Yarrowia lipolytica: one gene and its partners. The protein of the gene in region 3 interacts with the protein of the main gene of each other region in a pairwise test. Links are inferred from orthologs where the notes say so. Each region holds a gene or a part of one and is shown on either strand. Other genes may lie near its edges.

Region 1 (6,362 bases), on a different chromosome or scaffold from region 3:
TCACTCATCGGGCTGTCTTAGAGACCCAGATCACCTCTCCAAAAATTCACTTTGCAATTGAAATGAAGTGGTCTCCTCCAGGAAATCCACCCCCCACCCACCCTGTTTGCACCGAGCTACTGACTCGCAGAGTTAGACTCAGTGCTCATGCTCAGCTCATCTGGCGTGCCTCCTGGCGAACCCCATTCAGCAAGACATATACCGGTTTGGGACTTGTAGGGAACTACGCTATCAAAGTTCCACCGTCTTCTATTGGCTTCTATGAGGGGAGCGTGCAGTGGCGCCGGCGGGGAAAAAAACGGTGAGAATTTTTCACTCAACAGAAGACGAAGAGCCTACAGCAACCTGAACCGCGGGAAACCAGTTTGGCAATGGATGCCATCACTCTCTGGTTCTCGTAATAATAGTGCATCTCGCCTGCATTGACGATGACCCCCCAAACACTCTCGGGAAGAGAAAAAGGAGGGACCCCAAGTGATAGTCGCCATGTCAAACAAAAAGCCCAAACGTAATGTTTAGTATAATTACGCAAATATGGGCGGGTTTTTCACAGGAGCAATTGAAAGACTTTTAATCGAAGTATGGCTTCCAAACAGGGCCCATTGTATTTAAAACCGCCGGTCGACAATGCTACACCGCCACCGAAAATGGCGTGATTGCTGGCAAAAAAACATAACATCATCACAAACATGTGTCAATATTTTCCGTATTCATAACGCTCCGCTCTTGGCCCGCCGGTAGTGCGTCGTTGTGTGGGCCTTGTGTGGCTTCGTACTCCAACAGCAACCAACGCGTTTCAAAGTTCAAGGTGCTGATTCGCGGCCAATGACAAAAAAAAGGGACTACTTCCCAAACAAGCAGTGACCTTCATCAGAGCTGCACTATACCCGTGTCGATCACCGCAACCCTACTGCGTGGTGTAAAGCAAAAGCACATGGTGAGGGGAGGGAGGCTCAGACGCGTATCGCTGTCCCAAAGGGGAAATCATATTGTCCAATGTCGACGCACATAGACGGTTTGGCGTTTCCCACCTCACGGCTGTGTCTTTCGGCTAACAACGCCGTGTCTTCTATTTTTAGGTCTCCTACAAGTACAGTAGCTACGATACTGTACGCTATCATGCCGTAGCATCTCCACTCAGCGTAGCACAATGAATGTTGCTGCGATTAGATTTTATTATACCCTGTTTTTTTTTTAGCGAGGGTGAAAAAATTATTCACATGGTCGCATGCAGGTGTGACCTGTCGGACAACGAATGAAATTCTTTTTTTTATTTTTTTTATATATTTTGCAGACGCACGTCGAAAATACGTGACTCAAGGGATCGAATCACAGGGGCTCGATCGAAGAAATGCGATCGAAGGAGTGCTGTCTCGTTGTTGCGCCAAGAGTCCACCAAAGTGAGATAAGCGACAAGCTCTTTTGGCTTTTTTTTAGCCGTGCCATGCTCAACAGAAGGGGCTATCAGTGACTACTACTGTACATACAGGTGGTTGAGTCTGGTAGTTAGTCTACTGTCTACTGTACTACTTGTACTACAGTAGTAGCATGCTAAGACCAGGGTACAGGAGCCATATTGGTCTTCTGGATCGAGGTGTTCGTTCTGGTGCTTCGAAGTGGTCTTAGCTTGGTGGTGACTCTGCGCTGCAGAAGTCCGTCAAGTAAAAGCCAAGTATCGTGTGTGTACTTACACAGGTAGTAGATATGGGACCTAAGTCAACCAACCAACCAAGTAATAATCCACAATTTACTTGACCAATTACTTGACTCAGAGTGGCGACTTAGAGTTCGACTAAAAAAAATACATGATGTCTACAAAACCATTTTCTGTGCAAGTTTTGGGAGTAAAGACATTATTAACGTTGATAATCGACCTCCAAATATCTATATTTTTTTCTTCCCTTCCCACAAAACCCATCCCATCCTTGTCTTATCTGCATTACATAATACACCCGCTAAACACAACATCACGCATCCGTCCCAAGCTTGATTTCTTATGTCTACAACATCTCTGCTTCGAAAACTGCAGAAAGAATACCCGCTGGCGTCTCGAGAAGTGCTACTGGATATTCTCGTGTCTTGTAATGGAGATGTCGATTCTGCGAAAGAGCTTTTGGGACAGTCACAGACACCTACCAAAGATACCACAAGTACTCGTCCTATAGATAGTCCCAAAAGACAGGCTTCCATAGCCATTTTTGGTGTCAAAAAGAGGAAGAAAGAAAGTGAAGCGAATACAACTTGTTCATCGTCTCCAAACACCCTGAAACCCCTCACATTATATACCCCTGAAGATATCGAGGCTGCCTTACCGTGCAGTTTGATCTACAATGTGTTGGAAAAGGCAGAAGCTGAAAATCTACTAGACCAGCTTATGGAGGATCACAATAGCTGGAAAGAAAAAACCAAGTTCTACCTATTTGACAAACTGTGTGAAACCCCCCACAAGTCTGCCTTTTACACTAAAGACATGTCCGTGTACTCGCAACACACTTATCGATACAATGGAAAGCCTGTCGACACTTCCAGAAAGTACAGCAAGGCCATGGAGGCGTGTTCAGATCGAATTCAGGAGCTAGTACGCAGTACAAACAAGGAAGGGACCGCAGAGTGGCTTAGTGACGCGTGTATTGCCAACTATTATGCTGACGAGTCTCAATCTGTGGGGTTTCATAGTGATCAATTGACGTATATAGGGCCGCGTCCTGTCATTGCCGCGTTAACTCTGGGATCCGAGCGCATCTTCAGACTAAAAGGGGCTTGTCCGGATGGGGATAGACGGACCTACAACATTCTGTTACCGCATAATTCTCTCATGATCATGCATGCCGGGTGCCAGGAGGCCTACAAACATAGTATCATTCCCGTTCAAGCCAAACAGATTGGATTACATGAGAGGGCAGGCAAGGTGCGTTTCTCTCTCACGTTTCGACACTACAAGAAGGAGTTTACGCCCAACAAGATTCCACAATGCAAGTGCGGAGAGCCGATGATTCTGAAGCCGGTGTTCAAGAAAGCTGCTGGACAGAAAAGCGGGTACTTTTGGACCTGTGGCCAGACATACCAGGGCAAGGGATGTGGAGATTTTGTGTGGTATGACAAACCCATTAGGTGATAGTTATCAGGATTGGTGTTGCGTGTACAACAGGTGTAAGCGGATGAATGGATAGTGTATTCGTCTTCAGCAGTACCAGAAAGTGTAGGCGAGCCGTAATGATATTAACATGATCACGAACTGTACAGACTACAAGTACAAACATACAGTTCATGGTGGTGAAGACGGTCTGTACCGAGGGTGAAGATGCTGTACTTGACTGAACAGCAGGCAGAGAAGGTAGTAAAGCAAAGTTGATACAAAATGACTTGTAAGGCGCTACGACAGGGAAACAGCAATATGTTCAAACTGGACAAGAAATTCATTAGCTGCTATATCAGTAGGTGTTTCTTGGGCACAGGTTTTACAGGTTTAGCATTGGGCGATTGGCGAGAAGCAATAGGTTCTTTGCAGCTGCGTATAATGTCATAGGTCCAATGCGGTTTCTGTAAAATCCGATGCGTTCTCGTCCAATACCCTTGTGCCATGCACTCCGAGAGTCCTAGAGTCTGAAAATTAGAACTTCTTAGGGGGCACTTCATTCTTCTTGGGGAAGAAGAATGTCGCTCCATAAAGACCAGCGTTAGAAACTGCCAGGCACGACAGCAGCAAAGGCCAGGGCTTTCGGAACACAGTGACACTTCGAGTCCCGTTGGCCAACAGGTACAGCATGGACCAGGCCGAAGTGAATCCTGCTCCGTTGGTGATGTCGTCCAGCATCATGTATCCCCCGGCAGCAAAGACCAGTCCGAAACCTGCGCACGACAGTTTGGTGGGCTTGACTGTGTTCTTTGCGTAAGGGAGGGTAGCCAGCACTGGGTTAGCATGATGGCATCCAATTGGGGTTTGGGTGGTTCAATTGTTTGGTTTTTTTTTTTTTTTGGTACTCACATAGACCGGACATAATCCAGGCGGGGTAGGGCGTACGAGCCAGCTCCTGGACGGGGTTAGTATCTTCTTTGGCGACTGGAGGAGCAGACATGGCGTGGTGGGATGGTGTAGCAATACAAAGTTGGGTGCAGATGGGTGCATATCACCATTGTTGGGGAGATTTGTGGGGAGACCATATGTAGTATTTGTGGTAGTGGCTGGTGTGTGAACTTCGGTAAACAGGGAACTAGTCGGTTTATTATCTGATTAAAAACACCTGCGTATCTATATCTCTCTTCCAGCCTCCAATAATCACTTGTGCTCCCCCTCCAACAAGGTTCGCTTAGCTCATCTGCAGGCATCTCGTTTTCCCCCACCATGGACAACGACAGAGTCAAGCGACGGAAGGTGGAGAGTGAGAGCGACAATGGCCGGACACAACTAACAGCCATCACGGCGCTTCCCGACGAGGAAAACACTGGATCTGTGCACCTCAAAGACCTCATTGGATCACCCCATCTCGAGGCCATGTGGCAATTCAACTTCATGATTGATCTGGCATTTGTACTCGATAATATTCACAAGAATGCCATGTCAAACATCAAGTGTCGGTTTGTGATGGGCGACTTTAGTGGCGAGAAGATCGCAGCCTTCAGAGCACAGGCCAAGAGTCTCCCGATAGCCGACAACATTGAAGTAGGAAGAGCCAAGCTGTCGAATCTGTTTGCAACCCATCACACAAAAATGATGGTGCTGTTTTTTAAAGAGGACAAGGGAGAACGATCGGCCCAGGTTGTCATCCATACCGCCAATATGATTCATCATGACTGGGATAACATGACTCAGGGAGTGTGGAAGAGCCAGAAAGTGAAGGAGAAGAGAAAGACGAATACGGAGGGCTCCACAAGCACGTTTGAGACTGATCTCGTTGCATACCTGTCTGAATACCAACTAGATACCACTTCCAAGTTGATTAAGTTTCTGCAACGGTTTGATTGGAGCTCCGAAACAGCTCGAGTGGTGGGATCTGTTCCTGGAACTCATAAGGACAAGAAGTGGGGACTCACACGGGTTGCAGACTTGCTGGACGAGCACAAGGAGGATCACAAGAGTGACTATGAGGGCTCAGAAAGTGACACGATTGTTCTACAGAGTTCTTCTATTGGTTCTCTTGGAGTCACAGACAAGTGGATCACTCCTCAATTGGTAGGAGCTTTGGATGGAAGATCACCAAGAGACCGAGATGGACATGGACTACCAGCTTCTCAAATTGTGTGGCCTACGGTTGAGAATGTACGTCGGTCGTTTGATGGATACGATCTGGGTATGTCTATTCATTTCAAGAACGAATCCGACACCCATAGGAAACAGTATGCGTATATGAAGGAGCGGATGAACGTGTGGAAGGCCGACAACAAGCACAGAACCCGAGCCATGCCTCACATCAAGACGTATACGCGTTTCACACGAGCTGGCAAGCTTCGATGGGTGCTTTTGACCTCGGCTAATATCTCCAAGTACGCCTGGGGGTCAGTTTCTGCAGCTAAAGAGTCCAAGTTTAGCATTCCGTCGTGGGAGCTGGGAGTTTTGCTGTTCCCCCAGGCGGTTGGGAAGGCTGTTTTCGATCTCAAAGACTCAGTTATTCCTTACGACTGGCCCTTGACCAATTACAGTGCCAAAGACGAGCCGTGGACCAAGAATGCCGATCATCTGGAGAAGGACACCAATGGGTTTCCGTGGGTAGTCACTTTGGATGGGAAGAAGAAGCTGATGAGGAGTCATGAAGCATTGTAGAAGATACAGGAGGCCGTTGACCTGATGCCATAAAGCACTCACTAGAGTAGGAGATTGGAGGGCTATTCGAATGAGAGCAATCCAGCTGGAGTCGGGCTCGACACCCATTTCAAGAGTGTATGTGCTGCTATTGACAGTCGCTTACAGTAACTCTTCAAGGAGTCAACCATGTCCGAGTACAATAGACCTGGTTGGTTGATGGACGAACATCGACAGATGGTAATAACAGAAGTGTCCACGCATTGAATCCATAAACGACAGTAGATGGATAGACAATAGACATCCAATATACTAGTCGTTACCATCCAATCTTAGCAACAGAGCATCTGGACATACATCACTATCGTACGATCTTTGTTGACCATTCGCTCTATAGAAGAGAAACCACCTTGAGCTTTGTTCTGGACACTACCTGTTGGTACCTGTAAACGTTTGCATAGTCTCTAGTGTGGGTTACTCCTCGACACTGTTTGATACCTCCTTCAACTATCCATGACCTACTTAGACCGACATCACCATCCAACTCAATGCGGCCATTCCACTCCTACCCACCAGAGCATCCGTATACCTCCACCCTCGGCATCTGTCCCCTCCCACGGGCTCT
Region 2 (5,997 bases), on a different chromosome or scaffold from region 3:
TCACATTCACTCAGTTATGGGAGTGGTCATGGCTGTCATCTTTATCCCTGCCCTATGGTTCATGTTGGCCACCAAATACTTCAAGGGAGGCATGATTACGGTTGTGTCTGCTAATGTGGTCCTTCTGGCCACTCTATACCCTACGACTACAGGTGGAATTGTCACCAACTTTGCCAAACGAACTCTGGCTATGATGATCGGAGGAGGAGCGGCTCTATTAGGACAATTATTCTTATTCCCAGTTAAGGCGCGAGAAGAGCTCGTGGTGGTGACCGTCCAGGCGATCAGAGAGTGTTCTCGAATGGAGAGAATCATTGCTTACGGCTTTGACGACCCTGCCACTGCTCAGAAGGAGTTCAAAAAGTGCGCTAAGGTCGCCAGAGGTTCACTTACAGCTGCAGCGACCTTCAGAACTTTCACCAAACAGGAGCCTCGTCTTAAGGGCTCTTTTGAGGAGATTTCCAAGATATTTGGCGAGATCATTTTCGTGACTCGACAGATTATCGACCGACTGGAGAACATTGTCTTCTTACGTCAACAGTATGGATCTGTGGTTCTGGACGAGTATGGACCTGAGGTTCTGGCCTACCGACGTCAGACTGCCGCTGCAATCACCACGACTCTACGTGCAGTTGAAGCAGCTCTTCTGAATAAGACACCCCTGCCTCAGTATATGCCCAGTGCTCGTTTGGCGCATCGACGGTTTGTGAACCGAGTTCGAGAGGTCATGATCACACGACTGAGCCAGAACAAGCATCATCATAGCGTTCCCAATATTGGAACTCCAGCGGTAGGTACACCTCGTGACACACCTCGAGAGACCCCCCGAGAAACCCCTCGAGAAACCCCCTTGGCCACTCCTCTAGGCAATCCTTCGCACCCTGAGTTATCTTCTCGAGCCAGTCTTCCCAATGTTCATACTGGGTCTCCTAGACGATGTTCGGAAGGAGACACCACTCGAGAGAAGGCTTGTGTTCCTGATTTGGTGGTCAATGATACAGACACACCCCATGCTCTGCACCACAGTTCTGATGACACTTCAGACTCGGATGACTCGTCTCAGGAGATTGAGATTGTGCCTCGAGCCCGAACACAGCAGCAGCAGCAGCAGCAGCCACACGACTACCTCCAACATCGAGCCGTCGTGTTGCAGCAAAAGTTCATGTCGTGGAGTGCGACTTCTTCGGCCGTGGAGGAGGTCATTGAGTACGTGGAAGAGTTGGCTGATCTCACAGCGCTGCTTGTGGGTGTCAACAAATTCAAGTACGGCTTTCTTTCGCGTCCCATTTACGCTGAATGGGCTGCTTCGGCAGCTCGTGCTTACGACGAGGTTCTGGCTCCCCACGATCCTCTCAAGGCTGACAACGACGATGAAGAACCTGACGAGACACCCCATGAGCTACGAACGGCAGCTGATCATACTCCAGACATTCTGGATCGAGATCATATCCCAAGAGGCCTTCGAAAGCGGGTCTTTTCTGTCGTGGAACACAATGGACAGATCTATGGAGGAGGCGAGCACCAGTACAACATGGTTCCAGGCATGCCTGCAGTTGACCGAACGACTTCTAGACAGTCTCAAAAGTCAAACAAGTCGCACTTATCGCAGCCGGTTGCTCGCAAGACCTCCAGTAATGCCTCCATGCCTCCTCTTACACGACGGCAGTCTATTCGGTCTGTGGTTGGAGCTGTCAATGACAGTCCGGAGCCCGAGAGTAAGTACTTGACATTGAGACGGCGAATGGGACGCAAGATTAACAAGAAGCATTAGCATAATTATTTATTTGTTTTGACTATATGAGCATGTAGATGCCATTGTACAAGTAGCATGCCTGGGTTGTGGAGAGCAAGCCCACGAAGATGACCCAAGTGACAAGATGATAGTGAAAAAAATCTACTGTAGTGCTTCTCGTCCACAATTTGAAGCGATACATACGCATACTTACTGTAGTACCCCCAGTACATCGTATTTATTGTACAGTATTACGTATGTACGATACACTCAGCCTTCAAGGCGTTTCAGTTTCGTAGTTTATATATTTACATTTTTTAAATCAAGTATATATTATTTACAATCTACATGTACAAGTATGAGTATTACCATTTACTTCTCCTATTTTACTCATTCAATATAATAACTTGGGTTGGTTGCCCAACACATATAAATACAGATATATAAGTCTGCCTCTAATCCACAGCCGTCTTGGCCATGGTTAATCAATGACCACCATTTCGGGACTGGTGGGCTTCTTGGGGGTTCCTCCCGCAGCTCCAGCCGACGAGTTGCGCTCCTTGCGTTTTCGACTTTCTCGCAGACTCTGGCCTGTGCCCGAAAAGTGGGGCTGTTGCTGCTGCTCCTCGGTCTGTGTCTCTTCGTCTTCAGAAGGCTTGACAGGCACTAGGGGGAAACCAAAGAATAGCTGCCCAAAAGGGAGACGTAAAGGCTGGGGGTTCGCGTCTGTGTCTGTTGATCCCAGACCCACGAGCTCCTTGAAGTGCTCGTCGAGGGAGGCCTCTTCTTCAGGCTTGACGGCTTTTCCAGACAGCTTCTGGCCGCCACCGGAAAAGGTGTTTTTAGAAGCAGACTTAATGGTCTGTTGGGCGAGCTTCGAATAACCAATAGACTGGGCCATGGTTCCCGCGGCTGCCATTGGTGCAGGAGTAGAAGATCCACTGGTACCAGGTGTCTTGATGGCTCTTCCGTAATTGGAGTCACTCTGGGTGGAGGGATCCACGTAGCCCACCGGAGGCGCAAAGTCAACCTCAATGTCCGTCTCCACACAGCACACCGAGTGCTTGTCCTCCAGGTCGGGCTTGACCTCCAGCACCTTCATTCCATATGTCTTGTCGTTGTAGCTGAACTTGAACACGTCTCCGACTGTGAGGGTCGAGAAGTTCTGGAATGATCTCTCCAGCACTGCTCGGGGGTCGGAAATGTCCAGAAAATCAACGCTCTGGGGTTCAAACTTGACAAACTTACCCAGTGGCAAATCACAAGACGAAATTTCCAGCAGAGATCCAGGACCCACATCCAGAGTCTCAATGATCCATTGGGGCAAGTAGACGCGGCCCTCCTCGGCAATGAACTCCAAAACGCCACCGTACGTCACATTGTCGTTCTCCTCGCTTTTGAGCTGGAACAACATCGGGTACGAAATGTGCAGCATACTGAGCTTGGAAAGTGCCGAGGGAGGCAAAAAGATCTTGCCACCGTAGTTGGCAGACTCTCGGTCCTTACCGGGCATCATGGCGATGGGGTAACATCGGTAGTAGTCCTGAAACTTCTGGGTTCGGTTTCGGAAAGGCGTGGCGCCCCATTGTGCAGTTCCTCCAAACATGATGTGTGTTATCAAAAAGAAGGGTCCGATGGTGAGAGCTATGATCCAGAGTTTGGGGCTGCATATGACGTAGAGGTGTGCATACCACAAGTAAAATAAGAAAGTGGGTAAAGTGGCAAAATAACGGGCTGAAGACTCAAAATCAGAGAACCAATTAATCTGTGTATGTGGCGAAAAATCAAGTTACATCAAGTTACACTCCCGGCACCACTCCGTTAGGCAAAAAAAAGAGAGCTGGGAGGTTCGAACTCACGCCTCTTTCGACACTAGAACCTGAAGCTAGCGCCTTAGACCACTCGGCCAAACTCCCAAACAAGCTTAAATTAAACCTTATTTCCGTGGGGCATTTTCCCTAGAATAAAATGAATCATGAAAAATGAATCATTAGAATTAAAAAAAAAATTAGGAAAAAAATAATCTCACCCTCATCTAGAATGAAAAAAAAGCGCTGTCTTTCCTTAGTTCAAAATAATATAAAGAAAAACTGCAAGTTGGAGAAGTTAAAAATGGACGTTTAGAGGTTACGTAAGTGAGGTATGTACTATTTGTGCAGTATGGCTAATCGAAGCTGAGCCTTGCCAGCTTCCCGTTTAATACTCTCTATCCACCAATATTTCCCGTTGAGGTCCTCAATGATTTGTTGCGTGCGAGCATGTGAACCGTGAGCAACTGCGAAGACACTGATGAACACAGCTCAAATTCATCAATTTTTAGTCGCGCTGTAACGCCTTCGTATCCCCATCAGTGACTCACTCGTAATCCACCCCTTCAATTAGTATTATACTCAATAAATAACATATATACGGGTCTCCTTCAGACATCATCCTATCGTACACATCATCTTCGTCGTCGTCATAGTCGACGACATTTCTTATTCGTCACTCTTTTCGGCCCCTGTCTCTCGTCATCGTCTAGATAAATCCAAAATCCTCACCCTGTAACTGACTGGGTCGCATGTACTGAATGACTCCTCCAACAGTCTCATCAGCAACACCAATTGTCAACTGCTGGTACTCGCCCAGCGAACACGACTGAGTGAATCTGACGCCGGCGGTGCCTCCAAAGAACTCGATCGTCTGTCTGGACGTACATTCCGACCACGTATCGATAACAGTCACGTAATCGACCGGCTCGGCAATAGCAAGATATCTTCCGGAAGCATCAAAATCCACGGACCGAATAGCTGCCTGCAACTTTCCCGAAACGGCGCCGATGCATTGGTTGGACGCTCCTCGGATGTCGTACAGACGGCAAGTTCCGTCCTGGTTGCCTGTAGCCACTGTTTTGCCATCGGGAGACCAGGCACATGCAAATCCGAAGTCCGTGTGACCCTGCAATGACATTTGCAGTTTACCCGATCGCGAGTCGTAGACGTGCGACTCCTGCGAGTCACAAGCCATGACGCAGACATTTTCCGAGCCTGGGAGAAAGGCCGTAGCATTAGCAGCATAGTTGAGTGTAATGGAGTCTTTTGCCTTAAGAGTGTTCAGGTCCAGAGTCCGAAGAACGTTGTCGTTGCCTGATATCAGGGCTGAAGAGGACAACAAGGAGATGTAGTTGACCTGTAGTTCGTTACCAGACGATATCATGCCCGAAGAGAGAAACGATTTCTTTTCTGACGACGACGTTTCAGCCAACGGTTTCACCACAAACACGCCCTTTGTGCTTCCCAGCATAACCACGTTCCTGTTAGCTGCTAAGGCGGACACTCTCAATTGCTGGAGAGATGGGTCACACATTTCAGGTGATATTGCGACCGTCTGTTCGCCCGTTTCTGGATTGAGCATATCCACCTGGAAGTCATCCATATGATTGGCATTGTAGAAAACCTGCGTGGCTGAAACGGGATACATCAGGTTTCTCAGCTGGAAATGGAAAAGATGGGGTTTGGGGTTAGTGAAGCACCGCTGGAACGCCATGAGTGAGTGCTCGAAGCCTTGAATCGTTGGAGATGCGCTAGGTGGCGGACGGTAAGCCGCGTAGCGCTGGTATCTGAGTTTGCGCACCAGAGCCTTGTGGGTTGCCACGCTTTCACATACTCCGTCGGGGATGAGAAAGGAGCCTCTTCGGGACGACTCAAACAGCGTACCCCACTCGAGTCCCTGTTTGTCGAGAATCGGATGCTCACACAAGACGTCTGGGGTAACAGTGTCCGGAAACTCCACCGTTTTGTATACTGATCTCTGGTACAGCTCTGAGGAGAGAGTACCCTGACGAAACTCCTCTTCCAGAAACTTGAAGAAGCAGTCTGGCCGGTCCTCGTCCACGCCCTCGGCTGCAGCACTCTCTCGGATCGCAACATCGCGCATGTAGTGGCTGGGAGGCCCCATGTCCATGTCCAGATCCATCTCCGTGTCGTGAGAAGAGGTGGTATCCAGATCGCCCAAGTCATCGAAAATGTCCTGTGGGATGACGGGCACCTGGTAGGGGGGGTCCAGAGGCTCCATGTACGCCCCAAAGGGCTCGGAAGGATAGCCCGGTTGCCAGTCCATCGGTTGTCGTTTCCTTTGGGGTGTGCTGTAGAATGGGTAGTTGAGGTTACTAGCGGCAACTGAGTTAAGTGATATGCAAGGTGGATGCGTCACGTGTGCGTGTATGATAAGAGCGGTGAACCGGTGTTAAAAGTGGTAGATAAGAGGTGGAAAGACGAAAGAGTCTT
Region 3 (5,396 bases):
GCCTTGTGGATTTGCTCGTGGTTGTGATTGCTCCGCCCGATTCGGAATCCGCACAATTGCTACTGTACAGTATGTACCAGTACCAGGTACCAGTACCAGTACCAGTACATAAGTACCAGTATAAGTGCAAGTAATGGTCGCTTCTATGTTCTGTTGTTCAATCATGGTAATAAATAACTATATACACGGATATGCTCTGGCTCACCTTGACTGTACGAGTACTGCAAATAAATGACAAGGCTGGAGCTTCACCCGCCAACCCTAAGTTGCTTCCAAGATGAGAGACTCTTTAGAGTTGTGTGGGGTAGTCAGGTGCGCAAGGTGGGTGAGTGGGTGGGTAAACAGTCCAACAATGGGACAGTAGACATGGACGCATGGGAACCCAGCATCAACCCCCACTGCTCGTAGACTAGAAGGCGGACACGTCACGTGACCGGCAGCGCACCGCCGGCGGCAGCGAGTCGAGACGTGTCGCCTTGGAGCCGTATTCCTCGTGATCGCCGCAGTCTGTACTTGTCGATTCGTCTCCACTGCCGTGCAAGTCCACCCGCTTGTCTTCTCTCAGCTGCAACCATCGAACTAGAGAAACCCAGCCGATCAGAGCTATACTAACGGCCAGCATGGCCCACATACCCAGACGGAACTCGGGCGCGGTGTCGGCTCCATAGAAAACCACCATCCACCACGCGTTGGTGGCGTTGGAGATCATGTTCATAGAGGCGAGCACCACCGATCTCTCTTCCTTGTCGTTGGCTGTCACCACGTTGGCCCAGGCGAAAAACGCTGCCTGTACCATGTAGACACATCCACACAGATAGTAGCCTGCAAAGACGGTCGGGGTACGGTTCACCAGCACCAGAACCGTGCTAACGATCCCCACTAGGCCGGCAGCTACCCCCACGTGCCAGTGTTTGCCTGTTTGATCCACGTACGAGGCAGCCACTACAGTAGCCACCACTCCGACTCCAGAAACGCCCATCGGGTACCTGTTACTCTCAATAACACTCCACCCGGAAGCCTTGAGATACTGTCCAAACAGGTTGTTGGCTGGAGGAGACTCCACCTCGCCCGCAATGCCCCATAGCAGCCCAAACATGTAAAAGTGCCATCGTCCAAGCACCCGTTTGACAACTGTCCAGTCTAGTTTTGTGTCTGGGCGTGGCGGGAGTCGCATGACAGACATCTGGCGCTCCTTCTCGTCGAAATAAAAGGCCTGTGTCGTCGCTGGTGTATCTGGAAAGAAAATAAAGCCATAGAGAGCCACGGGAAACGTGATGATGGCGTCGATAATGAACAGCCATCTCCAGCCGGCTAGTCCTCCTTTCCCACTGAGTCCTTTGAACACTGCACTTTGCAGAAAACCAGAGAAGAGTGTGCCAATGAGCCCTGATGATGTGAAGATGGCGGTTCGCTTCGCCAACTCCTTACCACTGTACCACGATCCCAGGATGAAATGGGTGCCCACAAACGTAGACGCTTCAAAAAAGCCCTGGAAGAAACGAATGGCATAGATCTGCTTGTATGTGGTCACAGCATAGGTGCCCAGAGTCAATAGGCCCCAGGCCATGGTGCAGAAGGGAAAGTAGTACCGGGGCTTGAACACCTGAAGAGCCAGGTTGTTGGGGATCATACCCACCGTGTATCCCACAGTGAAGAGCGTGTTGGCGATGTTGAGCTCTCGGCCGTACATTTGGAGATCCTCTCGCATGCCCGAAACAAAGGCATTGGACAAATTGGCTCGATCCAGATAGTTGGTAAAGTACATGAGACAGCAGAAGGAGAGCACAAACCAGTCAATCTTGCGCAACAGGTGCTCCTCCTCGGCCGTGCTCTTGTACTCTCCCCAGATAAACACTCTGATTTTTCTCAGCCAGTTCATGGGCCGTGATTGAGTGTGTCGAATGTCTTTGGGGTTCGAAATTGGCGGGTTTTTTTCGTGAATAATGCGGTTCTTCCCGTCCCTGTGGCTGGTCCTGTCTGTCGTCCCATGCTCGTCAGAAAAACCCTTCAGAGGTGAGCTTAGCGGAGGTTTATTTGCTTATTAAGCATGGCTGTAGATGGATGCAACGGTGAGTAACCAAGGTCCTCTCTATGTCCTACAATAGATTTCCAATGATCGGGCCTCCTTTTTTCGTCGATTTCAGCTGCAAATATTATTCTTCATCTCATTTCCTTTTATACACCGGTTTGCTCAAATCTAGTTGCCCCTTTCGGAACCCCTAGCCCTGAAGTCGCGGCTTTCACAATCATAGTTTGTGCAATCCACGAAATCCATCACACAACTACACACAAACATCAAAAGTGAGTATGGTGGCAAAGATGAAGTAACAGAGGCGCTGACAAGGTGCAGGAGAAATGAGTACAAGCGGGCGTACGTGTGTTTATATACACTGAGCTTGTATGCTCCACTTTGAGTGCTTCAGCCTTGCAGCCACGCTCAAGTTGCACTTGCACAACACGAGACGGTGAACGTGACGTACCGAACGTGACACAAACCAGAGAGAAACGCACCTCTGTCCACTCGTAAACTAACGCAGCAGATGTCTGAGGAAACACAGCCCAAGGTAGACAGCTCCGAGCACGTCAACATCAAGGTCACCGACTCGTCGTCGGAGATTTTCTTCAAGATCAAGAAGTCCACACAGCTCAAGAAACTGATCGACGCCTTCTGCCAGCGACAGGGCAAGCAGAAGTCTTCCCTGCGTTTCCTCTACGACGGCCAGCGAGTCACCGACACTGACACCCCCGAGACTCTGCAGATTGAGGACGGCGACACCATCGAGGCTCACCAGGAGCAGCTTGGTGGCTGCTAAGCGGGATATTAACTGGTAGATTGTTAGTAAAGTGTATGATAGCTGTTTAATATTGAGCGCGTAGAAATTGTCGCAATATATCTCGTTCCATCTCCAAAATCTGCTTTACGTAATCAGATTACTAGTACATAATTGCTGTATTAAAGAGACGCGTACATACGAATACAGGACTCGTATGTAAACTTGAACTCAACACCATGATGAAAACGTGGGCATTGAGGGCTAGAGCTGTTCGAGCCACATGGAGTGGCCTGTCGAGGACGTTCGGCACTTCAGCACCATGTGATGAGGCGCTCAAAATCGCATATTTTGGAAGTGACAAATTCAGCATCAAATCATTACAGGCGGTTCTCCAACTACAAAAGGAGGACCCTAGTGCCATTGAGAGCGTCACAGTCGTTACGAAACCGCCCAAACGAGCTGGACGAGGTCTCAAGGAGCTCAAAGATGTGCCTATTACCGACTTCGCGGTAGAGAACGGCCTTACGGTGCTTCGGGCAGACAACAAGACGGAGATCAATGCTCTGCCCAATGACTTCAGTCTCGTAGTTGCTGTCAGCTATGGAGGTTTGATTCCCCAACAGTTTCTGGCAAACACAAAGTACGGCGGTCTCAATGTCCATCCTTCCTTTCTACCCCAATACCATGGACCTGCTCCTATTCACCATGCTCTGTTAAATGGAGACAAGACGACCGGAGTGACAGTCCAGACACTGCATCCGACAAAATTCGACCGAGGACGAGTCGTGGCTATTTCAGAGAAAGTCCCCATCACTCGAGATAGCACCTTTGAGTCTCTGCGAGATACCCTGGCAGACACCGGAGCGGAACTGCTTTATTCAACAATCAAAGATCGAAACTTCACAGACTCGAGCTATGAGGTCAAATCAGGCTGTCCAGACGTCTATGCTGGACACGTAACGTCAAAAATGCGTGCCATTGATTGGTCTGTGGATACAGCCGACAAGTTGGAGCGGTATTGCAACACGCTGGGGTCGTTGTACACTCATAAGTTATTTGAGGAGCGCAAACAAGTCAAGGCAGAGTTTCAGGAGAAGCTGCTGAGAGTTCTACTAAGTGAGTTGAAGAAGGTGGATGGCATTGAAGCCTTTGGGGCCCCTGGAACACATAAACTTGTCGATCGAACGGTGCTCATCAATACTGTAGATGGAGTCGTGTCTTGTCCCACTTTACAGGTGGAGTTCCAGGCGGTGGAGGATGCTGACAAGTTTGAAAAAAGATGTGTTGGTTCGAAGAAGAAGAGAGCCAAGAGTGAGGAATTTCAAAATGGAGAGTGAATCGCCAACTAGCACGAGACATTGTATATAGTATTAAAAATAAAATAAAAAAATAACGACCTGTTGGAACTATATTCATATGTTAACTCAGTTGCGCCCACTTACTGTACATTCCAGCTACACTACAAGTTCATATAACATAATTAACACAATATTCATAACAAAATCCTTCCCACACACTCCTCTCTCCTCCCTGTTACTCCCTCTCTCTCTCCTCCTAAACCAACAGCGTCTGATGCTTGATGTTGAACTCCTGGACAGCCACGGCAATCTTGTGGTAGAAGAACTTTCTGTTGGACGGATCCGGAATGGGAATAAAAGGACCAGGCACATCCTCCAGCAGCTTGAGAGCAAGGCCAGTCTTCTCCATTGTGATCGTGTCAATCTTCTCCAGCTTCACGGTCCAGTAGCTCTCCATGTTGACGGTGTGGAACATGATGATTCGGTTAAAGGTCAGAATGACGGCCTTCTCAGTGCCCGCAATCTCCACATGAGCCAGATACTTGTCATTGAAGAAAGTGCCGCCGTCGATCAGCTTGAGCCAGGTCTGGCCCACAGCCTCGGTCTGACTGTAAGGTCGAACAATGCCGTCATAAGACAGATATCGGGTGGCTCGAATTCGCGAAATGGCGTTGGGATCAAACACGGTGGTGGTGTTCTTGATTCCCTCACTGATGTTGTTGGCAAAATCAAACATTCCAATGGCCGTCTTTGTGGGCAAGCCAACCAGACCTTTTCCAACACCCTTGAAGAAGCCTGCGGCTCCTTCGGTGGCAGCGCCATGCATGGGCGCCTCTGCAATGCCTGCAATACCAGAAGCAAAGGCGTCAAAGAAGGACGAAGCTCCCGTGGTGAGGCCAAACAGAGCATGCTTGGGCCGGTTTCGGGTCTTGTTGACCCGTCGGCGGTTTTGGAACGACTTATCCATCGTCACCACAGACAGACCCTTGGAAATGGAGCCTGTAACCTTGGAGATAGAGTCGGAAACACCGTAGACAGACTTCTTGACGAAAGACAGAGAGCCCTTGGCCAATCCAATACCCAGCTCAGAGGGACGGTCATTCATGATAAAGCCCTGGTACGGCTCGTAGAAGATGTCCATGATACCAGAGGAGATGTTGGTGAAAAGACCGACGGGGTTTCCGAGGAAATCGGCGGAACCGAGAATCTTATGCAGCTGGTAGAAAAATCCCTGGCCGTAGTGAGTACTCACAGCCTGGATGAGAACCGGCCACGAAGTACGCACATTCTCCATCATCAGAGCATTAAGCTTGACTGGCGCATC

What was found.
Region 1: the proteins of YALI1_F10115g (region 3) and YALI1_D09790g interact in a two-hybrid assay, tested with the Saccharomyces cerevisiae proteins (2 studies listed by BioGRID). The link is inferred for Yarrowia lipolytica from reciprocal best matches to the Saccharomyces cerevisiae genes SMT3 and TDP1.
Region 2: the proteins of YALI1_F10115g (region 3) and YALI1_E31075g interact in binary tests that used the Saccharomyces cerevisiae proteins (3 or more experiments, as listed by UniProt). The link is inferred for Yarrowia lipolytica from reciprocal best matches to the Saccharomyces cerevisiae genes SMT3 and UFD1.

Annotation. Positions count from the first base shown.
Region 1 is NC_090773.1:974,687-981,048, forward strand, and holds YALI1_D09790g (uncharacterized protein), read left to right. Parts: upstream 1-4,342; coding exon 4,343-5,758; downstream 5,759-6,362. Other genes in the region: YALI1_D09766g (uncharacterized protein), read left to right, coding at 1,997-3,115; YALI1_D09785g (uncharacterized protein), read right to left, coding at 3,611-3,909, 3,986-4,076. UniProt on the Saccharomyces cerevisiae protein: DNA repair enzyme that can remove a variety of covalent adducts from DNA through hydrolysis of a 3'-phosphodiester bond, giving rise to DNA with a free 3' phosphate.
Region 2 is NC_090774.1:3,104,904-3,110,900, reverse strand, and holds YALI1_E31075g (uncharacterized protein), read right to left. Parts: upstream 3,339-5,997; coding exon 2,214-3,338; downstream 1-2,213. Other genes in the region: YALI1_E31131g (uncharacterized protein), read left to right, coding at 1-1,771; YALI1_E31050g (uncharacterized protein), read right to left, coding at 4,250-5,830. UniProt on the Saccharomyces cerevisiae protein: Functions at a post-ubiquitation step in the ubiquitin fusion degradation (UFD) pathway. Has a role in the endoplasmic reticulum-associated degradation (ERAD) pathway.
Region 3 is NC_090775.1:1,008,709-1,014,104, reverse strand, and holds YALI1_F10115g (uncharacterized protein), read left to right. Parts: upstream 1-2,540; coding exon 2,541-2,813; downstream 2,814-5,396. Other genes in the region: YALI1_F10122g (uncharacterized protein), read right to left, coding at 410-1,879; YALI1_F10110g (uncharacterized protein), read left to right, coding at 3,011-4,111; YALI1_F09996g (uncharacterized protein), read right to left, coding at 4,329-5,396. UniProt on the Saccharomyces cerevisiae protein: Not known; suppressor of MIF2 mutations.